Saccharomyces cerevisiae S288C: one gene and its partner. Each later gene encodes a partner of the first gene's protein in a complex. Each region holds a gene or a part of one and is shown in the gene's direction. Other genes may lie near its edges.

Evidence for each region.
Region 2: the proteins of RIF1 (region 1) and RAP1 are in contact, whole or in part, in a crystal structure (PDB 4BJT), measured with the Saccharomyces cerevisiae proteins. Residues at the interface, in NP_009834.4 of Saccharomyces cerevisiae: Ile1760 (codon at 6,781), Arg1761 (codon at 6,784), Ile1762 (codon at 6,787), Pro1763 (codon at 6,790), Ile1764 (codon at 6,793), Phe1765 (codon at 6,796), Asn1766 (codon at 6,799); in NP_014183.1 of Saccharomyces cerevisiae: Ile724 (codon at 4,220), Tyr728 (codon at 4,232), Glu729 (codon at 4,235), Pro730 (codon at 4,238), Gln732 (codon at 4,244), Ala733 (codon at 4,247), Glu734 (codon at 4,250), Leu736 (codon at 4,256), Val737 (codon at 4,259), Thr752 (codon at 4,304), Leu755 (codon at 4,313), Thr756 (codon at 4,316), Ser759 (codon at 4,325), Gly760 (codon at 4,328), Asp761 (codon at 4,331), Leu762 (codon at 4,334), Met763 (codon at 4,337), Met817 (codon at 4,499), Phe821 (codon at 4,511), Asp825 (codon at 4,523), Leu826 (codon at 4,526).

What each region holds. Positions count from the first base shown.
Region 1 is NC_001134.8:750,831-758,609, reverse strand, and holds RIF1 (DNA-binding protein RIF1), read left to right. Parts: upstream 1-1,503; coding exon 1,504-7,254; downstream 7,255-7,779. Other genes in the region: tyrosine/serine/threonine protein phosphatase PPS1, read left to right, coding at 1-990; serine/threonine protein kinase CHK1, read right to left, coding at 7,433-7,779. UniProt on the Saccharomyces cerevisiae protein: Negatively regulates telomere length by preventing telomere elongation or promoting degradation of the telomere ends. Recruited to telomeres by interaction with the C-terminus of RAP1, which binds directly to telomeric repeat DNA.
Region 2 is NC_001146.8:239,639-244,672, forward strand, and holds RAP1 (DNA-binding transcription factor RAP1), read left to right. Parts: upstream 1-2,050; coding exon 2,051-4,534; downstream 4,535-5,034. Other genes in the region: ssDNA-dependent ATPase MGS1, read left to right, coding at 1-363; PPN2 (putative serine/threonine-protein phosphatase), read left to right, coding at 693-1,673; IES2 (Ies2p), read left to right, coding at 4,830-5,034. UniProt on the Saccharomyces cerevisiae protein: Essential regulatory protein in yeast whose DNA-binding sites are found at three types of chromosomal elements: promoters, silencers, and telomeres.

The sequences.
Region 1 (7,779 bases):
GAAGACGGATATACAGAAACGTCATTATTATTAACAGCTTATATTATATTCCACTTTAATATTCCGTTACAAGACGCTCTTTTGAGGATCCATCCAAGACCATTTTTCCTTTTTCCATCAGACTTGCAAATTTTAGGCCATTTACAACCTGTCCTGCGGGAGTTTAGTCCGCAGAATGGAAGTAATCTAAAATTATATGCCAATGCATTGAAATTTAGGGATAAAAGCTTTCAATTACACATTTCTTCAGAGCTTTTTAGTAGCATATTTTTTATGAAGATTCCTCTTGAGTCTAATTTCGTTAATTTGAAGGGCCCACTGCCATCCCGGATTCTACGTCACTTGTATTTGGGATCCCTGGATCATGCACAAAATCCTGCCTTACTTAAGTCTCTAGGAATTACGCATATAGTTTCTGTCGGTGAAGTTGTTTCATGGACATTGAATAAGGATAAAATTGCTCATCCTGTAAGGCCACATCGTGCAATAACTATGACGAATACCAATGAAGTTGCAGGTAATACTACATGTAATAAAAGCAGAAATAGAGCTGATACTGTGGTCAGCGATAAGCAAGAAAATGGCAGCAACGTAGTAATAAGTGAAAATTCTGGATTTCAAATTTGCCAGATCGAAAATCTAGATGACAACGGCAAAGATCCGCTTTTCCACCAAATAGACAAAGTTTTGGATTTTATTAGCAATTCCGAAGCAACAGGAGGGAAAGTTCTGGTGCATTGTATGGTCGGAGTCTCCAGATCTGCAACAGTTTGTATAGCTGAATGTATGAGATATCTCCAGTGTGACCTGGCAAGTGCGTATTTGTTTGTGAGGGTACGGAGGCTTAATGTTATCATTCAACCAAACTTGTTCTTCGTATATGAGCTCTTCAAATGGTGGAAAAAGCATTATAATCGCGAAAAAGACAAAACTATGGATTGGCACATCATCTGTAGGGGTATCGCTGAGGTTAATATGAAGTACACATGAACTTTGTTATATAAGTATACGTACAACTGTATAATACGTAGGAAAATTACCAATTATAAGAAAAGTATGCAAAATTAACGCTATCAGCCAAGTATAACGAACTGCTGTAATCCTTTACAAATCGTTAAAAAAGGGCCGCAGCAAATATTTATATAGTAAGGACAGCTATCTTAGATTTACATCGTGAATATACTCTACTTTTGATAAGAAACAAGAAGTCAACAGAAGGCAGGTGATTAGTGCCATTTTGATTTTCAGTTCTTTGTGTTTTTCCTCTTATGTCATATTTACTACAATAATAGAAGTTACTATAATTGACCGACGCGTCGATTTTTTATTTATTGGCGACTCATCGTTAGCAAGAAGATCGAAAGTAATAACGCAGTCTTAGAGCGATTTGAGGCAATTCGTCGGCATCAGTACCTAAGGAGATAAAAGTGAATATATATATATATATTCGTCAACGTTATTACAGGATTGCCATTGCAAAATCGTTTTTGTGGTCAATTTGCAATGTCGAAAGATTTTTCAGATAAAAAGAAACATACGATAGATCGAATTGATCAGCATATCCTCCGTAGGTCTCAACACGATAATTATTCCAATGGAAGCTCTCCGTGGATGAAAACTAACTTGCCACCTCCATCTCCACAAGCTCATATGCATATACAAAGCGATCTATCGCCAACGCCAAAGAGGCGAAAGCTAGCGTCTTCAAGTGATTGCGAGAATAAACAATTTGATTTATCAGCTATTAACAAGAATTTATATCCAGAAGATACAGGAAGCAGGCTAATGCAAAGTCTTCCAGAGTTGTCTGCCTCTAATAGTGATAATGTATCACCGGTTACAAAAAGTGTAGCTTTTTCTGATAGGATAGAATCATCACCGATTTACCGCATACCAGGTTCCTCACCTAAACCCTCTCCATCAAGCAAACCAGGAAAATCAATTTTGAGGAATAGGTTGCCTTCAGTGAGGACTGTAAGCGACTTGAGTTACAATAAACTCCAATATACCCAACACAAATTACACAACGGTAATATTTTCACATCACCTTATAAGGAAACAAGGGTAAATCCTCGCGCCTTAGAGTATTGGGTGAGTGGTGAGATCCATGGTTTAGTTGATAATGAAAGTGTTTCGGAGTTTAAAGAAATTATTGAGGGCGGATTGGGCATCTTGCGACAAGAATCTGAAGATTACGTCGCGAGGAGGTTTGAGGTATACGCAACCTTTAATAATATTATACCCATTCTAACCACTAAAAATGTTAACGAGGTTGATCAGAAATTCAATATTCTAATTGTGAATATAGAAAGTATCATTGAAATATGCATACCGCATCTACAAATAGCACAGGACACATTATTAAGTAGTAGTGAAAAAAAAAATCCATTTGTAATCAGACTATATGTTCAAATAGTTCGATTCTTCAGTGCTATTATGTCTAATTTCAAAATCGTTAAGTGGCTAACGAAAAGGCCAGATTTGGTTAATAAGTTAAAAGTTATTTACAGGTGGACCACCGGTGCGCTAAGAAATGAAAATTCAAACAAGATAATCATAACAGCACAAGTCTCTTTCTTGAGAGACGAAAAATTTGGTACTTTTTTCTTGAGCAACGAAGAAATTAAACCTATCATTAGCACTTTCACTGAAATAATGGAAATCAATAGTCACAACCTAATATATGAAAAATTGCTACTTATAAGGGGATTTTTGAGCAAGTATCCAAAATTAATGATTGAGACGGTAACTTCTTGGTTACCAGGTGAGGTACTACCTAGGATTATTATCGGAGATGAAATTTACTCCATGAAAATTCTCATAACTTCAATAGTTGTTTTACTGGAACTACTAAAAAAATGCTTAGATTTTGTTGATGAACATGAAAGGATTTACCAGTGTATCATGCTATCTCCAGTATGCGAAACAATCCCGGAAAAATTTTTATCTAAACTACCGTTAAATTCATATGACAGCGCTAATTTAGATAAAGTGACAATTGGTCATCTTCTTACACAGCAGATAAAAAACTATATTGTGGTCAAAAATGACAATAAAATAGCAATGGATTTGTGGCTTTCAATGACCGGATTACTATACGATAGCGGAAAGAGAGTTTATGATTTGACATCAGAATCTAACAAAGTTTGGTTTGATTTAAATAACCTGTGCTTTATCAATAATCACCCCAAGACTCGCTTAATGTCCATCAAAGTTTGGAGAATTATTACCTACTGCATATGCACGAAAATATCACAGAAAAATCAGGAAGGAAACAAAAGTTTACTGTCACTTTTACGAACCCCTTTTCAAATGACGCTTCCTTATGTGAATGATCCAAGCGCTAGAGAAGGGATCATCTACCACCTTTTAGGTGTTGTTTACACTGCATTTACAAGTAATAAGAATTTGTCAACAGATATGTTTGAACTATTTTGGGACCACCTAATAACCCCGATTTATGAAGATTATGTTTTCAAATATGATTCGATTCACTTGCAAAATGTACTCTTCACAGTTTTGCATTTGTTAATTGGGGGAAAGAATGCAGATGTTGCATTGGAAAGAAAATATAAAAAGCATATTCACCCAATGAGTGTTATAGCCTCAGAAGGTGTAAAGTTAAAAGACATTTCAAGCCTGCCCCCGCAGATCATCAAGCGTGAATACGATAAAATCATGAAAGTTGTGTTCCAGGCTGTTGAAGTAGCCATTTCTAACGTTAATTTGGCTCATGATCTGATCCTTACATCTTTGAAGCATCTTCCAGAGGATAGAAAGGACCAAACTCATTTAGAATCCTTTAGCAGTCTTATATTAAAAGTCACGCAAAACAACAAAGATACACCCATTTTTCGTGACTTTTTTGGTGCTGTTACTTCATCGTTTGTTTATACATTTTTGGACCTGTTTTTAAGAAAGAATGATTCATCATTAGTAAATTTCAATATCCAAATTTCCAAAGTTGGTATTTCGCAAGGAAACATGACCCTTGATCTTTTAAAAGATGTTATCAGGAAAGCTCGAAACGAAACATCTGAATTTCTGATAATAGAAAAGTTTCTAGAATTGGATGATAAGAAAACAGAAGTATATGCCCAAAATTGGGTTGGATCAACGTTATTACCACCAAATATATCTTTCAGAGAATTTCAGAGTTTGGCGAATATTGTGAACAAAGTTCCGAATGAAAATTCCATTGAAAATTTCTTGGACCTATGTTTGAAGCTCAGCTTTCCAGTTAATTTGTTTACACTACTTCATGTGTCTATGTGGTCGAACAATAATTTTATTTATTTCATTCAAAGCTATGTTTCAAAAAATGAAAACAAATTAAACGTGGATCTGATCACGCTGTTAAAAACTTCTTTACCAGGGAATCCTGAACTGTTTTCCGGTCTGCTCCCATTTTTAAGGCGTAACAAATTTATGGATATTTTGGAGTACTGTATTCATTCCAATCCAAATTTACTAAATTCCATCCCTGATCTAAATTCAGATCTCCTATTGAAGCTGTTACCACGTAGCAGAGCTTCATATTTTGCAGCAAACATAAAACTATTCAAGTGCTCCGAACAGCTTACATTAGTTCGTTGGCTGTTGAAGGGTCAACAACTTGAACAGCTAAATCAAAATTTTTCAGAAATCGAGAACGTTTTACAAAATGCGTCTGATAGCGAGTTAGAAAAATCAGAAATAATCAGAGAACTCCTTCATCTGGCGATGGCAAATCCCATTGAACCATTATTCAGTGGCCTATTGAATTTTTGCATAAAGAATAATATGGCGGATCATTTGGATGAATTTTGCGGAAATATGACCAGCGAAGTTCTTTTCAAAATAAGTCCAGAGCTACTGTTAAAATTACTGACGTATAAGGAGAAGCCTAATGGGAAGTTACTGGCAGCAGTTATTGAAAAAATTGAAAATGGAGATGATGATTATATATTGGAGTTGCTTGAAAAGATTATTATACAAAAAGAGATCCAAATTTTGGAAAAATTAAAGGAGCCACTTTTAGTTTTCTTCTTAAATCCAGTTAGCTCTAATATGCAAAAACACAAAAAGAGTACAAATATGCTCCGTGAATTAGTCTTATTATATCTCACTAAACCGCTTTCTAGAAGTGCCGCCAAAAAATTTTTTTCCATGTTAATTAGTATATTACCGCCAAACCCTAACTATCAAACTATTGATATGGTTAATCTGTTGATTGACCTCATCAAATCACATAATCGTAAGTTTAAAGATAAGAGAACCTATAATGCAACATTAAAGACAATAGGAAAGTGGATACAGGAATCGGGCGTGGTTCATCAAGGGGACTCAAGTAAGGAAATTGAAGCTATACCTGACACTAAGTCGATGTATATTCCATGCGAAGGGAGTGAAAATAAACTTTCAAACTTACAGAGAAAAGTGGATTCTCAAGATATCCAGGTTCCGGCTACGCAGGGAATGAAAGAGCCTCCCTCCTCAATTCAAATATCTTCCCAGATTAGTGCGAAAGATTCAGATTCAATATCGCTTAAAAATACTGCAATAATGAATTCTTCACAGCAAGAATCACATGCTAACCGAAGCAGATCAATTGATGATGAAACACTAGAGGAAGTGGATAATGAAAGCATTAGAGAAATAGATCAGCAGATGAAGAGTACGCAGTTAGATAAAAACGTGGCCAATCATAGCAACATTTGTTCTACTAAAAGCGATGAGGTGGATGTTACTGAGCTGCATGAAAGTATTGATACACAATCCTCGGAAGTGAACGCATACCAACCGATAGAAGTTCTCACTAGCGAACTGAAGGCGGTAACAAATAGATCTATCAAAACGAATCCTGATCATAACGTTGTTAACAGTGATAATCCTCTAAAACGACCTTCCAAAGAGACGCCTACCTCTGAAAATAAAAGATCGAAAGGTCATGAAACGATGGTGGACGTTTTAGTTTCTGAGGAACAAGCGGTGTCGCCTAGCAGTGACGTTATATGTACTAACATCAAGAGTATAGCCAACGAAGAATCTTCGTTAGCTTTAAGGAATAGCATAAAAGTGGAAACAAACTGTAATGAAAATTCCTTGAATGTCACTTTAGATCTTGACCAGCAAACCATAACAAAGGAAGATGGAAAAGGGCAAGTTGAACATGTTCAAAGACAGGAGAACCAGGAAAGTATGAATAAAATCAACAGTAAAAGTTTTACGCAAGACAATATTGCACAGTACAAGAGCGTGAAGAAAGCCCGTCCTAATAATGAGGGTGAAAACAACGATTATGCTTGTAATGTTGAACAAGCCTCTCCAGTAAGGAATGAGGTGCCAGGAGACGGCATTCAGATCCCGAGTGGGACTATACTTCTCAATAGTTCAAAGCAGACAGAAAAATCAAAAGTTGATGACTTGCGTAGTGATGAAGATGAACATGGAACGGTTGCGCAAGAGAAACATCAAGTGGGTGCAATAAACAGTAGAAACAAAAATAATGACAGGATGGACAGCACACCCATTCAAGGCACTGAAGAAGAATCTAGGGAAGTTGTTATGACCGAAGAAGGTATCAATGTACGCTTAGAAGATAGTGGAACATGCGAACTTAATAAAAATTTGAAGGGACCGCTTAAAGGAGATAAGGATGCCAATATTAATGACGATTTTGTACCTGTTGAAGAAAATGTCAGAGATGAGGGCTTTTTAAAATCAATGGAACATGCGGTATCTAAAGAGACAGGTCTAGAAGAACAACCCGAAGTTGCTGATATTTCAGTGTTACCAGAAATTCGTATACCCATTTTCAATTCTTTGAAAATGCAAGGGTCAAAGAGCCAAATAAAAGAGAAATTGAAAAAGAGATTGCAAAGGAATGAGTTAATGCCACCAGATTCACCTCCTCGAATGACAGAAAATACAAATATCAACGCGCAGAATGGCTTAGACACCGTACCAAAAACAATTGGTGGAAAAGAAAAACACCATGAAATTCAATTAGGCCAAGCCCACACAGAAGCAGATGGCGAACCTTTGTTGGGGGGAGATGGTAACGAAGATGCTACATCTAGGGAAGCCACACCTTCATTAAAAGTGCACTTTTTTTCAAAAAAGTCGAGAAGGTTAGTGGCCAGATTGAGAGGGTTCACACCGGGCGACTTGAACGGAATATCTGTGGAAGAAAGAAGAAACTTGAGAATTGAATTATTAGATTTTATGATGAGGCTCGAATATTACTCAAACAGGGATAATGATATGAATTGATTGTTAGTATGTAGAATAGATCAAAATGGCAATAAATTAATTACAATAATAAAATCTCTCGAAACAATATATAGTTACGATGACACACTAGAAATCGAGAGAGATATATAATAAGTAGAAAGAATTTTTTTTTTTTTTTGATCAGTGCATCTTAACCCTTCTTTTGTCTCCATTTTTTTCAGTTGGGAATTAGGATAATATCCCTACAGATAGTTGAAATTTTCTTGAACAATCTTCTCCATTCTAAAGGATCACCAGTTTTTCTTTCAAATCCGACACTTTTCAACTCTTCTTCAATCTTTATGATGGAAATGCTACCGCATAATTGATAACCCCCATTACTTTTGGTTTTAATATTTATAATAAGTGGGAAAACGTTATCATAACCCAATAATTCGCACAATCTTTCAAAATTCGCAAAAAGGTCGGGTTTTACTCTAATTTGTGATAAATTCAAGGCTTTCTCCAAAATCGGTAACAAAACATCCATAGGTTGCAACGTGTAGAACTTGGTAAGTTTATTCG
Region 2 (5,034 bases), on another chromosome or scaffold:
TTGCCAGAGGCAGACCTTGCACTGGCGCAATGTTGTGTTGCTTTGGCTAGGGCACCAAAGTCAGTAGAACTATATAGAGCTTGGAAGAAATTAAGGGCAATGATGAGCGAGAACATGTACAGTTTAGCAAGCAGTGAGATACCGATGCATATCAGAAATGCGCCAACCAAATTGATGGAGGAGCTGGGTTATCATAAAGGCTACAAGTACAATCCCGATTATATTGAAGGAAAAGTCCAACAAGACTACTTTCCCAAAGAAGTGCTCGAGAAATGTCCAAATAAAACTGACTTAAAGTTCCTGGACGGCAAACATTTAGGAGACAAAGAAGATCCTGACTTGAGACAGTCATATCAGGGTTAGTCAAGGGTCTTCCATACTTCTCTCAATGCCGCGTCTACAATTCATATTTTTTTCTCTGTTGGCCAATGCCGCTTGTTTTTTTACGCTTGAGGCGCATTGCATTGCTGGCACGTTTTTGTGCAGCATGAACGATATAAACTATAATTTTAGATAATCAAGGATCCACCTTTTTTTTTCATGCTAGAAAAGTCTCGCGGGCCCATCTGAGATATATTAGAACATATACGCATCCTATAAGAAGAGCACATTATTCTTGAATTAGTTCTTCCTTTTCCTCGACCTTCCAGCTTGTAAAATGAGCCAGGCTTGAGGAGCATAGATACGCAAAAATGGAAGATAAGCGGAAAAGACGAGCCGCTACACTTAGTACAGCATTGATATTATTTGTGGCATGCTGCGTTTATACACTATATATATTCAAGTTTGATAACCCTCGGTTGTCTCCACCAGTTTCCTTATTGCCTACAATTAGCACCTTGAAGAAAATTGAGCATGTAACAGATTTAAATAAGGAGTACGTTTTTGTTGGTGACGTTCATGGTAACTATGATGAGTTCATAGAACTCATTGATGACAAGATTGGAGGACTAGGAGAAAATATAACAATGATATTGCTGGGTGACTTTATTCACAAGGGCCCGGACTCAGACAAGGTCGTGTCGTATATTCTAAATCACAAGGATCAAGTCAAGTGCGTTTTGGGCAATCATGAAATATTGGTCATGATGGCCTATTTAAACCCAGACTTCTCGAAATGGGTAAGACGCCCCAAATTAATGACACCTTTAACTTTCAGTACGGAGACTAATTTCATACCACAAGACATCTCTAAAATCAGCAACGCACATGGACGGTTAGCTCGCGAACTTGGGTTTTCCAAATTAAGTCAGCTAGCGGAACATTGTTCTATGGCCATAGAACTAGATCTGGATATTACCGGTGATATACTCTTTGGTGCACATGCAGGGATGGTTCCGGGAGACTTCATGAAGCCCAACCAAATTCCGGGCGTGAGCTCTCTGTCAAACATGAAGTACGTTGATAAGAAGAACTGGTCAAAAACATCACGTGAAAAGGAAAACAAGAATTATGTGAGATGGTACACACTGTGGGACAAATACGGAGACCACTTTAGTAACGCCAAAGTATTTTACGGGCACGATGCATCCATGGGACTAAACCTACGGAGACAGACCAAAGGTTTGGACACAGCATGTATAAAGAACAATCTGCTTTCATCTATGAAAGTGAAGTACGATATTAAGAAGGGGCAATATGACTATGAATTAATTCAAGTACAATGCTCTTAAAACAAAAAGTACTACTTAAAAGCGCAACAGATTTTATATAATGTACTATATGAAAAAGATATGAATATTATTATGTAACTCATAATACTGAATCTTAAATTTCAATGAAACTTTCGCTGGAGCTACAAGTATTCTTGCCCAATGGCCGCTACCCGCCTCTTCTTCGTTGTTGAAGTTTTAAAATTTAGCGAGAAAAGAAAACAAAACCGAAAACAGACAACCGCAATCATTTCTTCAACACCCAACATCCAGCACCTAAACACCATCAATACACGTTTTAAACAAAACAAACCCATAGCCCAAAAGGTAGTAAACACAAACCGTTGTATACGCAACCGCCCTACATAAGACACTATTTGCGTACAGATTATCTCAATATGTCTAGTCCAGATGATTTTGAAACTGCACCAGCAGAATATGTTGATGCATTGGATCCGAGTATGGTCGTTGTTGACAGTGGTTCTGCTGCAGTCACAGCGCCATCGGATTCAGCCGCTGAGGTAAAAGCTAATCAAAACGAAGAAAACACTGGTGCTACTGCTGCTGAAACTAGTGAGAAAGTGGATCAGACGGAGGTCGAAAAGAAAGATGATGATGATACCACTGAAGTCGGTGTAACAACTACCACGCCTTCCATTGCTGATACTGCTGCTACCGCTAACATTGCTTCGACATCAGGTGCATCTGTTACTGAACCTACTACTGATGACACCGCTGCTGATGAGAAAAAGGAACAAGTAAGTGGTCCTCCTCTGTCAAATATGAAATTCTATCTTAATCGCGACGCGGATGCGCATGACTCTTTAAATGATATTGATCAATTAGCGCGTCTGATTAGAGCAAACGGTGGTGAAGTGCTAGACTCCAAGCCAAGAGAATCAAAAGAGAATGTTTTCATCGTGTCACCCTATAATCATACCAATTTACCAACGGTAACTCCGACTTATATTAAGGCATGTTGTCAAAGCAACTCGCTACTGAACATGGAAAATTATTTAGTACCATACGATAACTTTAGAGAAGTTGTCGATAGTAGGTTGCAGGAGGAATCGCATTCTAATGGTGTAGATAATAGCAATAGCAATAGCGATAACAAGGATTCTATCAGGCCCAAAACAGAAATAATCTCTACGAATACTAATGGCGCTACGGAAGACTCAACCAGCGAAAAAGTTATGGTAGACGCTGAACAACAAGCTAGATTACAAGAGCAAGCTCAGCTCCTTCGTCAACATGTAAGCAGCACCGCATCAATCACAAGCGGAGGGCACAATGACTTGGTCCAGATCGAACAACCTCAAAAAGATACCTCCAATAATAATAATAGCAACGTCAACGACGAAGACAATGATCTTTTGACACAGGACAACAACCCTCAAACAGCAGATGAGGGGAATGCATCTTTTCAAGCACAAAGGTCCATGATTTCGAGAGGCGCTTTGCCCTCCCACAATAAAGCTTCTTTTACAGATGAGGAAGATGAGTTTATTTTGGATGTTGTGAGAAAAAATCCAACCAGGCGTACAACACATACTCTTTACGATGAAATATCCCATTATGTGCCTAACCACACGGGTAATTCTATTAGGCACCGATTTAGAGTCTATCTTTCCAAAAGACTAGAGTACGTTTATGAGGTTGACAAGTTTGGTAAATTGGTTAGAGACGACGATGGAAATCTGATAAAGACTAAAGTTTTGCCACCATCAATTAAAAGGAAATTTTCAGCAGATGAAGATTACACTTTGGCAATCGCGGTCAAGAAGCAGTTTTATCGTGATTTGTTTCAAATCGACCCTGATACTGGAAGATCACTTATCACAGATGAGGATACACCCACTGCTATAGCGAGGAGGAATATGACAATGGATCCAAATCATGTGCCAGGGAGTGAACCCAACTTTGCAGCTTACAGAACCCAAAGCCGTAGGGGACCGATTGCACGAGAATTTTTCAAGCATTTTGCCGAAGAGCATGCAGCACATACTGAGAATGCTTGGAGAGATAGGTTTAGGAAGTTTCTTCTCGCTTACGGCATTGATGATTATATTAGTTATTATGAAGCTGAAAAAGCTCAGAATAGAGAGCCGGAACCGATGAAGAACCTCACCAATAGACCCAAGAGGCCTGGCGTTCCCACTCCTGGCAATTATAACTCTGCCGCCAAGAGGGCAAGAAATTATAGTTCTCAAAGAAATGTTCAGCCTACTGCCAATGCAGCGTCCGCTAATGCTGCTGCCGCTGCTGCTGCCGCTGCTTCCAACTCTTACGCTATACCAGAAAACGAATTACTGGACGAAGATACCATGAATTTCATTTCCAGTTTAAAGAATGATCTATCCAATATTTCAAATAGTTTGCCCTTTGAGTATCCACACGAGATTGCGGAAGCTATAAGAAGCGATTTTTCGAATGAAGATATATATGATAATATTGATCCTGATACCATAAGCTTTCCACCAAAAATTGCAACAACAGATCTTTTCCTGCCATTGTTCTTTCATTTTGGCAGTACGAGACAATTTATGGATAAACTTCATGAAGTTATTTCAGGAGATTATGAGCCATCACAGGCTGAAAAACTGGTACAGGATCTTTGCGATGAAACTGGTATACGTAAAAATTTCAGTACGAGCATATTGACGTGTTTATCCGGGGATCTGATGGTCTTTCCTCGCTATTTCTTGAACATGTTTAAGGACAATGTTAATCCTCCTCCCAACGTTCCTGGTATTTGGACACATGATGACGACGAATCGCTAAAAAGCAATGATCAAGAACAAATAAGGAAACTGGTTAAAAAGCATGGAACTGGTAGAATGGAAATGAGGAAAAGATTTTTTGAGAAGGACCTGTTATGAGTAATTGAATTAAGTAACATCATTGTTTAACTTATTTTACTCCTTTATTTCACTGATTCACGTTTTCTACTTTGTTTTTCAGTTCAATGTATAATTTATGTAAACTTTTACGTATTTTAATTTTCAAAATTCTTACAATGATTAAGGCGGAACAGTTTTATAGAATCCCATTAGCAAAAAAGAGAGAAGAAAAGGAGGAAAGTATAACGCAGAACGAAGATTCTCATTTTTAACGTGTCTTTTCTTCAAGGATAAAACGCCTAACTAGCAAATAACTGGCGATTAGCAGACTACAATGGACAGTGAAGCAAGTGACATTGAGGCAGAGTTATCCGACAGCGTCTCAGCTGGTGGGGAAGAATACATTGACGATGATGATTATACGGAAGATATTGACGATCAGATAGTCACAGCCAAATCATCTAGAAGAACAGCACGTAGGAGTGTACCTAAGGGTGTAAGAACCTCAAAACGCATTAGAGATAAAGAACTTTCTGTGG